3 linked regions of the Bombyx mori genome follow. The protein of the gene in region 1 purifies or fractionates together with the protein of each later gene. This does not show direct contact. Links are inferred from orthologs where the notes say so. Each region holds a gene or a part of one and is shown in the gene's direction. Other genes may lie near its edges. The genes, in order: RPII140-upstream gene protein; protein NDUFAF4 homolog; evolutionarily conserved signaling intermediate in Toll pathway, mitochondrial.

Region 1 (5,333 bases):
CAAACAGTCAACAAATAGCAATGGCAACAAAGTCAACAAGCAATTATAACAAAATATAACATAACGATGAATAACGATAGACTTTTCACCGTACGCAAGCGTACTTTTGGGAGCAAGCGGAACGAGGGCGCGGTGCGGGGCGCAAGGTTCGTCTGATCTACCAATAACGCGCTCGATACGGTTTCCTCTGCCGTCGCGCCTCACCCCCACCACCAAAGTGATCTAAAATTCGGTTCTGCGCAGTCAAAGTCATTTGCTCAAAAAGTTTGCCGGTTACTATACATACCTAATTGTCCAAACTATTTCTAGATACAAAAATGTCCAAAGAAAATTAAAATATGATTTTAGAATTACAGGTAGATACTTACCAAAATGCTGAATTGCGGTAAAGGCATTTTTTTAAAGTATTCGTATAATTGCAAAAAGCGAATAAAATATATTGAGGGTCACTATCACAATGATTTATTAAAATCCTCTTCTTTCTATTATTTTTAAGCATGACAATCGGCTTTTTGGGATGCCATTGCTGCCAGCGATGAGTTTATGAAAATCTTCAATTATTAAATACATATTCAGTTATTTTTTGGTCAACTTTGACCTAACTTTGACTTTGAGCTAAAAGTTGACCAGAGGCTATCCACCAAATGTCTATATAGAGTGCTCCAATACTTTGGTCATATAGCAAGAAAACCCTCTGACAACCTGGAGAGACTCATAGTGACGGGTAAAGTGGATGGAAGACGATCTAGAGGTCGTAGCCGAAAAAGATGGAGTGACCAAGTGTCTGAGTATCTGGACATGAGACTGAGCCACGCACTTCACTGTGCCACTGACCGACATAAGTGGCTAAAAATTACAAAAAAAGGTCACAGGCGGGCGCATCACGATGCTCAGAAATGAGCGATCGACTGAAGGAGGATGAGGATTCAGTTATAGGAAAAATGATATAGCAATGAATGAGGTGAAGTTGATTTATTTGAGTCCGTAATCAATTGGGATGAAATTACATTTTCATGTTCATGAGATGTGTTTAAATAGTCTCAGTAAACTGGTGATTATTTATTGAAAATTCAGCGGACCTTCCGGAAGATTTCGAGAAACCATGCCTAATGGCTTTGTTTTAGTCATGACGTAGCTCTGCGGTCCCGTTCAATCGAAGTCGTTTCAGAATTAGACTCAGACTACCGTCCCGTCGTTATAAAGCTTGGTCGCACTTCCGATTAGGTTCCCGTCACGAAAACTGTGGTGGATTGGCACACACTGGGCTTCAGCCTAACTGAATCTGATCCACCATCGCTCCTGTTCAGCCCAGACTCTACCCCATCCCCTCAGGATACCGCTGAAGCCATAGACATCGTAACGGCGCACATCACCTCGACATTAGATAGATCATCGAAGCAAATTGTAGCGGAGGACTTGCTTCAATTGCCCGACGATGTTAGGGACTCCTTAGGGCCAAGAACGCCTCGATCCGCACCTACGATAGGTAGACTACCTACCGAAGTCCGAGATGCCAGATGGTCTAATTTTTTAGAATATACTCTCAAATCGGATATCATTTCATTTAATTTCATCCCAGTTGATTAATGTATCAAATTACTTATCTTCATTTCATTTCACTTCATATTATTTATTATTTTTCATAAAAATAAGAACATAAATTAAAATAATACGTGACTTAAAGGTCTTAGTTACCAAGTCATAAAATCCCTTTAAAAAAAGATCATTAAGTTAAAAGTTCAGATTGGTTAGTGATGTCTGTCTTGTCTGTTGTTATCAAAAAGGGAAAGGGATCTTGTCGAAATGATCCGAACGGTGATCAGGTTGTCTCCAAGTTTTGTCTTACCAATTTTTCGTGAAAGAAATGAAAATGATTACGATGTCCTTAACAGACCTCTGCCTGGAGGCCCTCAGACAGGCTGGGATCGGGTTAAAGCCATGTATAAAAAAAAGTAAGAAAATTGCGTTTTTCATCAATATTATTTAATAATCATACTCGCTAAGATTTGATGTTTAAAATTACTAATAAAATAATACTATGCATTTATGGTATTTTCGTGCCTGAATCCATGGGATTTATGAAATAAACAAATATTTTAGCGAATTCGACGAAGTTTCTCCTGAACTGCATACAGTTGTGCAATCCACATTGTGCGGTGCATTTGTTGGTGTTTGTTTCGGAGGATTTGTCTCATCTCGAGAAGCCTACTTGTATTTTATTGAAAATAATCAAGCAACCGCTTATAAAACAGTAGGCGATGCAAAGGTATTGTAAAAGGTTTGCATAATACATGATTGTTTTTAAAATAGAGATGCTGACTCAAATGTTTTGTATCCTTACCTATTATTCTTTATTTAATTTATTAATACATTCATAATTGGAATGTTCAGGAAGAAAAAGATGCTCCCAAGCACTCAACCGCTTAATTTTAACCCACTTTTGAATTATTTTTTAATTCACAATAGATGTAACTTTAACTATATTAGGTGTTATGCGTAAGTGGTAACATGTAACAAGTGGCCAGCGAGGAAACAAACTCATTAACTTTTTTAACATTTCTAAGAATATCTACTAGAATTTGTACAAGGTTCTTCAATATCTTTTCTCCATATCCTGCTTAATACAGCTACAGATCACCTGGTAGAATGCTGTCACAGGATTACAGTATGCTTGTCTGCCTAGAAAGCTGTAAATTATTATTAGTTTATATTGTATATAAATTATTACTATTTACATCCTTAATTTTTTATCTTTTATAATGATTTTATAAAACCTTGGTGATGGATTACAGAAAAAACTGCAAGACTATGTAACAATTGGATTTGCCAAAGGTGCCTACAAGTGGGGATGGAAATTAAGTATTTTTACAGGAATGTTCAGGTAAATTTATTAAGACTAATATTAGCAATACATATATACATATAAATACAGTACATGTAAACACAAGGAATCAAATCTCTGACATGCTTAGCATATATTCTATTTGTTACTTAATCCTATTTTACATTTAATTTTATTGTCAACACTAGTCTTGCAGATTTCATCATTAGTTCAAAATGTGTTAAAGTGGAAGTATATTTATCATTAGTATTACATATACTTTTAGTATTAGTTATAAGTAATGAAGATATCTAAAACAAAGATCCAATTTTATTTCTTGAAAATTTTGAATGATAAAAAAAATGTACTCATTACTAATTCATATCATTTTCATGCCGAAGTAATTATAGGGTACATATAACTTGTGCCATTTTTGAAACAATTTCTTCTACAACTCATTTAGTGGTTTTTTTAAATAACACTACATTTTAACAATTGTTTGTCAAATTTTATCACAGTGTTTGATCATGATAATAATCGAACATTGCAATATGTGAAAATGTGATAGTCATATAATTATAACCTAATGGTTGAATAAATTAAACTGATTTTACTGTATTTACATTTTTTTATTGCTTAGATGGCGGGACGAGCTCATGGGCCACCTAATGTTAAGTGGTTAACGGAGCACATAGACATCTACAAAATAAATATTGCCAACCGCCTTGAAACATGAGTTCTGAAGTCTCATTTTTAAGAATACACCAGCTACACCACCCTTTAGACCAAAATGCAATACTGCTTCACGGTAGAAATAGGTAGGGTGGTGGTACCTACCCGTGCGTACTCTCAAGACGTCCTACCACTGGTAATTAAACAAATTATAATTTTGCGGATTTGATTTTTATTACATAATGTTATTCCTGCACTGTGGAAGTCAATCGTGAATGTTTGTTAAGTTCCTTGAAACATTTCAGTTTGATAGCCACAACAATATCTGCATATCGTGGAGATACAACACTCATCGAGTACACAACTGCAGGTGCACTTACCGGAGCATTGTATAAAGCAAATTTAGGATTGACTGCTATGATTGTTGGTGGTTCCCTAGGTAACGATTAGAAACAGCCAGACATTTTTTACTACTAGTTACCATATTATTTATATATTTCTTTATTTTTAGGAGCTGTATTAAGTACAATAGGTGGACTTTTAATTATTGGAATATTAAAAATTACTGGTGTTCGTATGAGCGATATACGACAAGCATTATACAAAATCAAAGAATCTAGGTAAGTTTCAAGTACAGCTTCAGAGAAAATGTCAAAATTAGTCAGTACTAGCTATGCCATAGATTGTTTTTACACTACCATGCGTAAGAGGTGTGCATCTCTGGTAAGCAAAGTGAGGGCCAGCTCCAACAGTATCCTGAGCATGATCGCAAGCAGGCTGGACTGTGTATACATGGGTCGCTGTGGTGCCATCTCCCATGGGATATTACGACAGTAATTCATTGTGATGTAAATATAACTACTAACATAGGTCTAAGTCTTATTAACAATTTATATGAGTCATGGTTACTTGCAATAAAAACATTATTATTATTATTAATAATATGCCTTGCAGTTTCATTCATGTTAAATTTGTAATTTAGAAATTATGGAACAGATTGCATTGTCCTAGAATAAAGACTTTTTCAGTGCCATTTGCTTATTTAAAACTCATTCCATTTTTATATTCATAGTCATATTTTCATATTTACCATAGCAGATTATCTAGATATATCTGGCATTAGCAGGGTCATGTCATTTACCATGATATAAAGTATCCCATGTGGTAATCCAGGATGTATTTTTAATACAATCTCTGCAATATTTGATACAAATCTATTCAGTTAGGTTATTTGTAATATTACGAGTAGTATAGTTAAAATCAAAATAATATAATAAGTTCTAGGAATCACAAGCATATGGTCAGGTCGGCTATATGCAAATTATTGTTTTTAAACTGGTTTATGATTATTTATTTATTTGAGCTATTCTTAGCGGATGCTAATAAAAAACGTTAAGCACTTGTTCAAAATCATAATGAGTCACTCATAATCATAGTCAATCATAATCACTGTAGTGCAGAATTCAACATCTGACTGTACTAGCGTGTGACTGTAACAAATATAAAACATTGGCATGACACCACTATATCTGCTTTAATGTACTGTTCTCTTATTCAATAGGACTGATCACTATAATCAAGCAATAGAGAAATCATCAAAAATCAAACACGACGATTTGACAAGACATCATGACACAATAGTCCAAGAGCAAGGTGAAGTGAAGATTGAGGAAGTTTAATTAAAATTCAACGTATCATACCGTAATTTCACGAAGATGTAATAAACTAGGATGGTATATAAAACTATCGAATGCTTGATAGAAAATGCTTTTGCAAAGCATTTGAGATTAAAAGAGTTACCTATTTAATTTTATGTTTGTAAATATTGTAAGTGTTGTAC
Region 2 (5,053 bases), on another chromosome or scaffold:
AGATAATTGCGACGAAGAAGACGAGATATTTCTAACGTCGTGCGATTTAACAGTTGCTTCTGAAATTCCATTGACTCAAATGAAGGGTTGTATTATAAAAAGTAATATCATAATAGAAGACGAAAACGATAATGGCCATTTAGATAAATGGAAAGATTTTTGGAAAAACTTTCTGTGTTGCAAGCCTTGTATTAAAATTTGCAATGATAGCTTATGGAAGTTGTCGGTGCGTTACGCGAAGTGTTTCCCCAACAATTATCAATTAAACAACTGCTGCAATTTTGTAGACACGGTTGGTGTTTTATTAGACTATTACTATATTCAAGGTAGTGTTAATCTATATTTAAAGTTCTATGAAATGCACTTAATATCATATTTTTTTAAAAATAAATATCTATCCATCTCATTTCATCGTGAAAATGTTGGGACAACGAACAAAATTACTTTGTTAATTTTAGATATTAACAAGACTGTCAAGAAAGAACAACTCGAGGGGCGAATAAAATCAGCTAAACCTATTTCATCGATAAATAATATAAAAAATAAAGGGTAATCACATTTCTGAACTTATATTTAATGAACTGTGGGGTTAGTAGGGTACTGTGTCTATTAAACCGTAGGTCACATGGATTTGTTACAGTGATTTCACCAGTGATATTATACCAAAAAGTGATTTAGAATCTGTCTCTACGAGGTCTCCTCGTCCTCAATCGCGAACTTCGAGCGCTCGTTCTAATTCTACGATTCAGCCAAATGTAAAAAGTAAAGTAAGTATTTTCGACCCTGGGCACAGTTTCGCAAATTTCCGTCTTTTAATTAACTGTTTTAATTAAAGGAATCTAACATAAAATCAACCTATCGTATTTCTTCAAACGAAATGTATCCTGTTCACATGGTGAAAAATGTACACGACGCTAGGGTAAGAAAGGTTTTTTAGTAATTATTCTGCCTGTACATTATGTTGGTCAATCAATTGATTTCTATGTTGCTTAATAGATACATACATAATTAAGGTAGATTATCAATGTTTCTGTGATTTTCAGAATTTTTTGATGCGGAGTAGTATATTTAATGATCACCGAGGAAGACAGTTGAGTTCAACAGTCACAGTGACACCGGGGTGCACCATACGAATACCAACGAATACAGCTCCTAGCTACGCAGCTCACATGACACCGTCGTTTTTTAATGCAGGTACGATTTTCAATGTTATTAGTATGTAGTATAATTTCATTGCCAATGTACATAATAATATTAGAAACACTTTTTAACTACATAAGCGCCACCTGTCGTATATTTTTGGTACTTTGACAAAAATGTTACTGGAGTGCCAAAAATAAATAAAAATTAAACCTAATCAAGGAAGAGATACGCGAATGCTAGTAACATTTAACAAATAAACAAACCTGTTTTTTTTCTTCATAGATTATAGGTAGGATGATAGAATCCGTCAAATTATTTTTTTTTGTAAACTTGCAGTAAATTTCAATTTACAGCTTCTAACACGACACAAAAGGGAAATTTAACACAGAACAGACGTAGGCTCGGACGTAGCCCCAGTCCATCACCTACTCGTGTATTAAGTAAACAAACACGAGCTACGAATACGCCTCCTTCACCTGCCGAGAAGTCCGTTGAGAAGGGATCATCGAGGCTCGCGTTAAAAGAGGCTCTATCAAGACTCAAATGTTAGTACATTTAATAAATACGATTCAATGTATGTATGTAGATAACGGTCTTTAGGTACGTAAGTCATAACACGTGTTCAATATAAGCACTTAAGAGGTGCTGGTGCTTAATAGTTATTTAAAAAAAGAACTGATTGACAGTTACGGTACTTGTCAAAGACATTTTTACATGTCAAAATGCTGCCTAACCTCTATGCGATTGTATTTGTGATGAAATAACAAGTAATATTTTAATTAAAATGATATTTTTATGAAAACATAAAACTTTAGAGATTATTAAATGAACTAAAGCCATCTGAGATGGGTGCTTTAGTAGCGAAGGCATTAAGACCGGTCAAAGCTTTTAACATCGAGAACAGAGCTCATCGTGTGATTTCAAAAGAAAAACCTACACCGGCCCCCAGATATCCAGGAAATATTGAAGATTTGAAACGAACTTTAGAAGCTGACCCGAATATTGACGAAAAATTAGATAAAAAAGATCCTGCGCTTGACGATAGACTGAAGGATGTTTATGTAACATCTTACGGTCGGTCTGAAGATGACGTTACGCGGGAACTACGAAAAAAACAAAGCGAGGTAAGGCCTTTGCCTCAGGACCGGAAATTAGTCGAAGATTTTGAATTTGGATTTAGAGAACCGGAAAAAATTAAATATGGACGCGCTACACTTAGACAAGTAGTGACCTTTATTTCCGCTCATCAAATAGACAGCAAAGAAGCTAGTCCAGATAAAATAGCATTTGAATATAAACTGAAGCTGGAAGACGTGGAAAGCATATTAAAATATTTTAAAACTTTTGAAATTTATATACCTGAAACCAAGAAAACTCCAGCAATGTTTGCAGGACCAGCTCATTTGAAAAAAGAAATTATCGAATCACAAAAGAAGGCAATTGAAGAAAACAGTATGTTGGACGCTAAAACATTAAGACAAAAGAAAAGTTAGGTGTTTTAATTCATTCTTATAAAGTAGTTAATGTTACTCAGTTGAAAAGCTTAAATTGATTAATAAATATTATTATTTCTTGTAAGATGAACAAAAATATTTGAAATAAGTTTGTTTGAAACATTCCGCTTGGAACATTTGCATGTAATAAATATAAATAAAACTTCAAAGTTCTATCTCAGTTTGTTCTGAAAATAAAATTGCAATTACTTACATTGACTTTTTTCAGATACATTTCAATATTTATTTTTAGTTACATTTTGAAATGAAAACCTTTGCATTTAATATCAAATAAAACCTAGTTGAAATTTTATAAAAGATAAAAGTAAAAATGCAAGGAAACAAAAATTAAAACCAGTGGACGCCTATAGGCTGAAAGATAGATAGAAAGATATAAATAGGAAACAATATTAATGTGCTAAGCTAAGCAAAAACATTTATGTTCTTTTCATTAAATTGAACCCAAAAATTTTTTAAAAGGTGATTGCCTAATGCCACTTGAGACTATAGACCTTACAAGTGACTTGATTTTCAACATACTACATGCCACAGCTCAAAAGCATAATTTCAATGTTAATTTTTGGTTGAAATCATTTTGAGAGGTGAAAGAAAGGCTATTTAGTTTAAGCAACATTTAGGCTCATATTGAGTTATATACATATTCGGAATCAGGGGATTTTTCTCCATCTATTCACAAACAATTGTTTTTAATTGAACTTCATTTAGTTTATGCCATTCAAATAGCTGAAGAAGTTTTTTGTTATGACATTTTTTGTTAAAATTTTAAACTTTAAATGGTTCTCTAGTAAAGATAGCTACAAAGATGTTGTTTAAGCCTAATTGCTTTTCATCCCTCGATTTATTATCATTGTGCCAGGTAAACTACCTTTTCAAAGATGGCAACTATTGTTATTCAACCAAATTTAATTTCTTATACCATAAAATTGTTGTTAATTTATTTGTTAAATCTCTAGTTGTATGTAGACAGTGATAAATAAAATGAATTTCTTAGCATAAAAAGATTTTTATTCAAATTGACTCATTCAAAATGCTCACTTATCCCATAGTAAATCTAAGTAAGACAATAAGTGGCTCATGAATATTAAAGGTTTTATTTAGTATATAGGCAGTAGTTTATCAGTAAGCAATAGAGATGTTTATTTTTATATTATTTTACTTAAAAGCTTTATCATAAGTAGCACACGATTAGAATCTGTTAATTTTTTGTCTGGAGTTTTGCCCGTGTGGACTACATTTTATGCTAAGGTTGTTTTACCTTGAAATGGTAAGAGTAGGTCAGCTTAGAAACAATGCAGAAAAATATAGTACCATCTATTTTAAATCATTGTACTTGAAACCAAAAGTTTATCTTCACAGTGGGTGTTTCCTTCTTAGTAAGTCCCAGCAAAAGTCAAGAGAGAATGGAGCGTGCAGTAGAAAATTGATTGGGTCGTTCTTCAGCAGACCTGAGTGTTTTGTCGCGATTGTACTAAAAAAATTGTTTCCCGTGTTTTTGTGCAAGTATTTCCATATTGAATTATTTTTTTCGTCGTTTCCCAACCTATTCGTTGGTAGCCTAGGGGGCTATTCCAGCTACGCCCGGACCGGTGAGCTCACGGGCTCAACCTAAGAGAATTAGCTAATACTAGCCCTAGCAAGAGCAGTGCTTCGCAGAATCTCCACCGGATCGGAAACGCGACCCACTGAGAAGATCCGGCGAGAAACTCAGTGGGCTGTGTCTATGGGTTAATTCACTCGTCGAACTTTTTGTCATAATCGAAAAGTTCGACGAGAACGGTGACCGGTGCTTGAGAGGCCTAAAAGCTCCGAGAGTGAATCCGGAGATCCGACAAGACATACCTATTTAGGGCGACGTCGGCTTTGCGTTACCCCATCGCGGTCGGATAAGTAATTAGTGGAAGTAGCGTTCTGACGCTTCCTTAAGATACTTACGTCTCATTAATAAATTTAGGTCGTCGTGAACATCTACATTCCTCACATACCACGGTGCTCCGACGGCTATCCTGCAGAAACGGGATTGGATGACCTGGAGGGAGTTAATGTGTGTATGGGCCACGTGAGCGAACAATACACTTGCATAATATGTAATGGCAGAACGTATGCAGGTTTTGTAGAGTGTCACCTTGTTATGAAGGGACAATTTACCTCGTTTGCAGATCATGGGGTAGAGTCGACCGAGAAGGAACGCGGCTCGGTGACGTACTGGCTTAATGTGGGGCCCGAATGTCATCCCCCTGTCGAGAGTGACGCCTAAGTACTTAGCCTTCGAAGCCCACGATATGGGCCTGCCAAAGATTTTTATGGCAGGAATGGAGTTACTGCGTCTAATTTGTGACGAGATACTAGCAGTAGTTTTATTTCGGGAATGGACTTACTGCGCCTAATTTGTGACGAGA
Region 3 (5,485 bases), on another chromosome or scaffold:
GTGCAATGTGTACTAGAGCGTGGTTAGCGTGTCTTTAAAATTGGGCATAATCCAAGACGCCCACTTATTGAACAATTGTCTATTTTAAGCCTAAATCTATGGCAATTTTACGTTATACCTATTGAAAATTAATTTTATCGTCGTGAGTTTAATCTCGAACATCGTTTTTATACATTTAGATATTTACTTATAAAAAAAAGCGTAAAAAAGGGTCATTTTAATTTTAACAAAAGACTACTAGGCGCTTTAAAATTATTTAATACTGAACGGACTAACCTTGAATGAAGATAAAAGTTCCACGTTTACACACTCGTACAATGTAAATAATTCGTTTCAACCTACAATAGTTCTGGCACTATGGGGATGGCATGGTTTATGTTCAAAATTATTCCCTCCAAAATTAAATTAAGAAATTTCGAATACATAAATTACTTAAAGTAAAATTAAATATAATGTGAGTACTAAAAAATTAAACTTACCGGAAAAAGTAAAAGTCACCATAACGAGAAAAACACTAATAAAATAATTTGCACTTTTACACATCTTGGGCAACATATCAGGCTGTATGTTAAAGTTTTGTAATTATTTTATTTTGTAATATTATATTTACACTAAATTATTTAATTAAGTGTAACTAGCAGCAATTATATGTATTTTCGACCATACATTCGTTTTTCATTTACTTTTAGTGTTTTAAGAGTTTTCGTAAAATACGAAGAAGTTTTTAAAACAGAGTAACATACACATACGTTGGAAGTTTACAGCCGACTGATGTGCTGGATATTGGTACTTTTGAAATGACTGTGAACAACATAGAGCATAAACGCAGACTGCTCTATGATAGAAATTCAGACTACAACTTAGTATAGAGGTCATCGTGTGACTTTCTTAATATTAAAATGATGTGACTTTAATAATATATGATGTTATTTTGGCATAGTGTCTGAATCTGTAAAGAAGCGCATTATTGTATTGCATAGAATTGTTGAACTGTGAACTTTAATTCCTGTTTAGAAATGAATTAAATTTTTTGTTACTCTGTATTTTTTAATTTTTAACTCTAAAATTTCAAACTACCATATTTTAAATTATATTTGACTTTGCTTTTATTTCATTATATTTCTGTTACTCATCTTCAAATTGTACTTTCACTGTAATTTGTATAATTTTAAAGTCTATTTTAACAAAATTTAATTTTAAATTTGTAAAAGAGAGATTGCTGGTTCTCCTGAGAGTTCTTTTAATACTGAATAGTCATTTCTGAGTTACACCGCAGTCTTTATTTTAAGATATGAAATATGATGAAGGTCAATTTTCGCCAAATTTTCAATTTCAGTTGTTGTAGACTGAACGACAACAGAGACAACACACACATTCATTAAAAGACAATAATCTAAATATACAATATTATCACTACTTTTATTCAAAGTGCTTAGAGCCTAAGCACTTAGAAAACAATTTGTCTGTCCCTCTAGGATTGAGCATATTCATGAGCGATAGAAAGTGGGTTGTATGTTCGTATGCCGACAATAGAAAAATACATGTTTAAAGATTTCATGCTCTGAAAAATGATATTGATAGAAATGAAACAAAATTTTAATTTCCTCTCTAATTTAAAATAAAAAAGTACATGACAGAACTTGTAACCAGACTTGGTATTTTGTTCGACCTTAATGTTCCTTAAATGTGTACTCTATGACTACATTTGCGTAAGTCTATAGACTACATTTTACCAACCTGAGCTCTTGAACAAGCCGTTGGACGTAGCTTCTTGAGATCCAGAAAGTCCACCTAACAAATTCTCAGTAGAGAACCACCATATTACTGAGATTATATTTGATCCCATATCATCTCATCTCATTTCATTTCATTTGATTCATGTCGATTGATTATTGTTGCAAATTAATCAACTTCATTTCACTTCATACTACCATTTCTATATAAAAAATGTATATAGATATATATTTAAGATTAGGCTGTACGGTATTAAACTTTTGCCTTTCCAGTTGAAAAAATAAAACTACTAGTTACTACTACTGATCAAATGTCAAGTTTTATGAAAAATATGTAATTGAAAATCAAATTGAAATTTTAAATTATCTTCTTTCTTGAGAACGATTTGAAACTGTGAATAGCTGTTATTTTAAGTTACAAATCTATAATTAAACTGAATAATTAATGAAGGCCTGCAAGTTTAACAATAACCAATAAGCGCTACCAATGGCTACAAAAATTTTAAGACATATTTTGCGACTTCCGTCTTCTCATTTTATGTATAGAAGATGGGAAAGCTCAAACACAAAAGTGGCTGTGTATGATCCTTTTGCTAATAAGCCAAAGAAAAATAAAGATACATATTTGGAAGCAATCAAAATGTTTGAAAATCAGGACAACAGAAGAAGAGGACACGTCGAATTTATCTATGCCGCCTTAGCTAGAATGAAGGAATTTGGTGTGCATAAAGACTTACAAGCGTACAAAGCATTAGTAGACGTACTGCCCAAAGGCAAATTTATACCGTCAAATATATTTCAGGCTGAATTCATGCACTATCCGAAGCAACAGCAGTGCGCTGTGGATCTCCTTGAACAGATGGAAGATAATAGTATGGATATCAGATTGTTATGTTAAACATTAATACTTATAATCTCTTTGGTAGTAATTTGTATTGGGCTTCAATAAAAAAAAAAAAATTAAAAAAAAAAATTTGAATACAATTTGTAAATGTAATAAATCTGTTGTTTTATCCTGTGTCACTTGAAAGGACAATTATACAATTAAAAGTACACAAACAAGCTAAATAGCCACTTGAACAGCCAATATTAACAATCATTACAAATAACACTATAATACACAAGCCAAGTTTAAAATTTACGTTATTCCATAAAATTGCTAAGGTATGACTACTGATAATTATTTTTTTATTAAATTCACAGAAGTAATGCCAGACAGTGAACTAGAGCAAATGTTATTGAACGTTTTTGGAAAAAGAGGCATACCTCTTAGAAAGTTTTGGCGCATGCTGTACTGGATGCCTAAATTCAAGAATCTAAGTCCATGGTATTTACCAGATGAATTGCCGAATGACACATTAGAACTTGCCAAAATGGCTATTCATCGGATAACTTCCGTTGATCCTACTATGAAAATTGAAATTTGGCAGGTGAAAAATTCTTTCATTTCTCTAGTTATGATTACAGTACCAACTGTATAGTGAAAGATGTTTATAAGTCAAAATTTAGTGATTTGTAATTAAGAGCCCATTTAATTAAAGGAGGGTGTATATTTGCTTTATGCATTACAGTTTGACAAGAAGTAAATTCGTTAATCAGTAAGAATGAAATATGCTCACTTTTCCCAGGATAAAGTATTTCTTTTGTCATTTTCTGGTCTTTAAACTACTAGATGGCTTGTACATCTGTTGGCATATAAAATTAAACCATTAAAACCTTTCATTTTTATATATCATTCATAAATTATTGAGAATGTAATACATAAAGTATACGTTTTAAATGGAATCTGGAATATAGACTTAGACGTCATGTCTCAAGATGAGTGATTTCAAACACATTATGATGTTTATGCATACCGGTGTCCACTTAATGCCAGAAGGGCCATGGTCAATCTCATTTGTGCGATGAATGCAAAATACAAAGTTTCCATCATTTCTCACACTTATTAGTTGATATAAACATACAATACAATTCTAATTTTTGTCAGACAGAAGAAATTGAAGCTTGCATAGATAAAACATGGATAGTAAGTGCCCAAAGTGAAACACAAAAGATATTACTCTCAGAGCAACCCCCTGATGAGCCCCTTGTTGTAAGAGGACCTTACGAAGTGTATTTAAAGGAGCAAGTTGTCACTTACTTTACATTATTGGGTAAAGTAAGACCAGAACATAAAGATGACTTTGACCAAGATGGTATGAATTTATTACCAAATTTTTATTGCAACTTAGTAGTACTAACTACTAGTAACTAGTAGTCCAGTTTATTATCTGGCCTAAGAAGTAAAAGAGCCAGTACTTTTTTTAGCTTTAGCATTCTGATTCCCTAATGCATATCATTTTTGATGTGTTCAAAACAGTTGGTGCTATGCTGACACCATTAAAAATGAAACTATTAACATATTTCTTATTTTAATATCACTGGTTAAATTTTTAGATGTATCAAATTTAAAGAAACCTTCCGGAATACCTGGTTTTATTGGTCAAACTACATTACCCGTAGTTAAATGTACTGTACATGAGCAGGATGATGGTACAATAGTAGCTGTATGTGCCACAGGTAATGAATTATGAACATAATATATATTACATGTTTCGCCTTTCTGAATTAGAATTACCAAGTTATTATTATCAAAGTAAATCCAATAACACCGATATAGTATTCTCCCGAAACCTCATTTGCAAAAGGATGGAACAATTATGTCATAGAAGTTCAGTAAACGCTAGTGGGAAGTTAATTATGTTATGTTGCAAACAACATTTCTGGAAATATACTGTCAAAGAATGGCAGTTCTGGGTAGTATAGATGAATACTGAAATAACAACTACAATTTTATTATGCTTAGGAACTTCTTTTTCAATAAACATAATTACATATTAAGAAGCTATTTTTGTTACAGGTTCATCATCACGAGATTCTTTGTTATCGTGGATAAGATTATTAGAGAAATATGACAATTCAGTTCTATCAAATCTACCAGTGATTTTCACTCTTACTGCACCTAGCAATGACGTTGTAGTACAGGAAACACAGCCAGCTGCCGAAGATGTAAAAAGAGTGCAAAATTAAATTGAATTTGTTTTGTTATAATAATAATAATATAGTAAAGACCTTTGTATAATTTATATTTATTTCTCCGTTTCGAATAACATTCACATAAAATTTAACAGTATTCAAAACACTCAGTAGATAATGTGTGACACTTTCTGAATATTAAATGTATGTACAAGTCAAATTCAATAGTAACATAGAGATGTAACTCTTTAAAATCTATACAAATGTCTTAATCACAATTTATGTAATGTCCAACATCACATAAATACAAAAACACATTAAGTCCACTCATAATCCTCATCAACTTCGAAGGATATTGTTCCCCACTGTCAGGTGATGTTATGCCAATCTGGTTGTGGTAGTAGGTAAGTCTCATTATCACTCCGAACAACAGTAACTCCAGCACCATAATATGGAATGACATAAGCAGACCCATCTGAAGGTCCCACAACCTATGAAAAGAACATTTTTATATATTTTAATCAACATAATGTCATTGTTATGTTAGAATATTTCTGTTAATTAGTTATGCCGATGTTTGTTCTATTAAATTGTTTCATGTACATACCTGTGCAGCTATTAATATAATGTCTAATAACTGTCCGAGGAACATGAATCCCAGAGTACATAGTTTTGCTAAACCCATTCCAGGATATCCCAAATAAAAGCGATCCAATCCAAACATTCCCAGGAATACA

The links.
Region 2: the proteins of RPII140-upstream gene protein (region 1) and protein NDUFAF4 homolog purify together in Homo sapiens (affinity purification with mass spectrometry; 3 studies listed by BioGRID and IntAct, with this or other methods). This does not show direct contact. The link is inferred for Bombyx mori from reciprocal best matches to the Homo sapiens genes TIMMDC1 and NDUFAF4.
Region 3: the proteins of RPII140-upstream gene protein (region 1) and evolutionarily conserved signaling intermediate in Toll pathway, mitochondrial purify together in Homo sapiens (affinity purification with mass spectrometry; 3 studies listed by BioGRID and IntAct, counting the BioPlex papers as one, with this or other methods). This does not show direct contact. The link is inferred for Bombyx mori from reciprocal best matches to the Homo sapiens genes TIMMDC1 and ECSIT.

What each region holds. Positions count from the first base shown.
Region 1 is NC_085128.1:11,905,212-11,910,544, reverse strand, and holds the start of RPII140-upstream gene protein, read left to right. Parts: upstream 1-1,716; 5' UTR 1,717-1,803; coding exon 1,804-1,952; intron 1,953-2,100; coding exon 2,101-2,266; intron 2,267-2,792; coding exon 2,793-2,881; intron 2,882-3,798; coding exon 3,799-3,932; intron 3,933-4,004; coding exon 4,005-4,113; intron 4,114-5,054; coding exon 5,055-5,172; 3' UTR 5,173-5,333.
Region 2 is NC_085126.1:4,813,356-4,818,408, forward strand, and holds protein NDUFAF4 homolog, read left to right. Parts: upstream 1-1,688; 5' UTR 1,689-1,988; coding exon 1,989-2,636; 3' UTR 2,637-3,656; downstream 3,657-5,053. UniProt on the Homo sapiens protein: Involved in the assembly of mitochondrial NADH:ubiquinone oxidoreductase complex (complex I). May be involved in cell proliferation and survival of hormone-dependent tumor cells. May be a regulator of breast tumor cell invasion.
Region 3 is NC_085123.1:8,906,903-8,912,387, forward strand, and holds evolutionarily conserved signaling intermediate in Toll pathway, mitochondrial, read left to right. Parts: upstream 1-2,013; 5' UTR 2,014-2,220; coding exon 2,221-2,605; intron 2,606-2,936; coding exon 2,937-3,163; intron 3,164-3,720; coding exon 3,721-3,928; intron 3,929-4,169; coding exon 4,170-4,292; intron 4,293-4,632; coding exon 4,633-4,802; 3' UTR 4,803-4,854; downstream 4,855-5,485. Other genes in the region: uncharacterized protein LOC101736860, read right to left, coding at 480-555; TM2 domain-containing protein CG10795, read right to left, coding at 5,117-5,239, 5,356-5,485.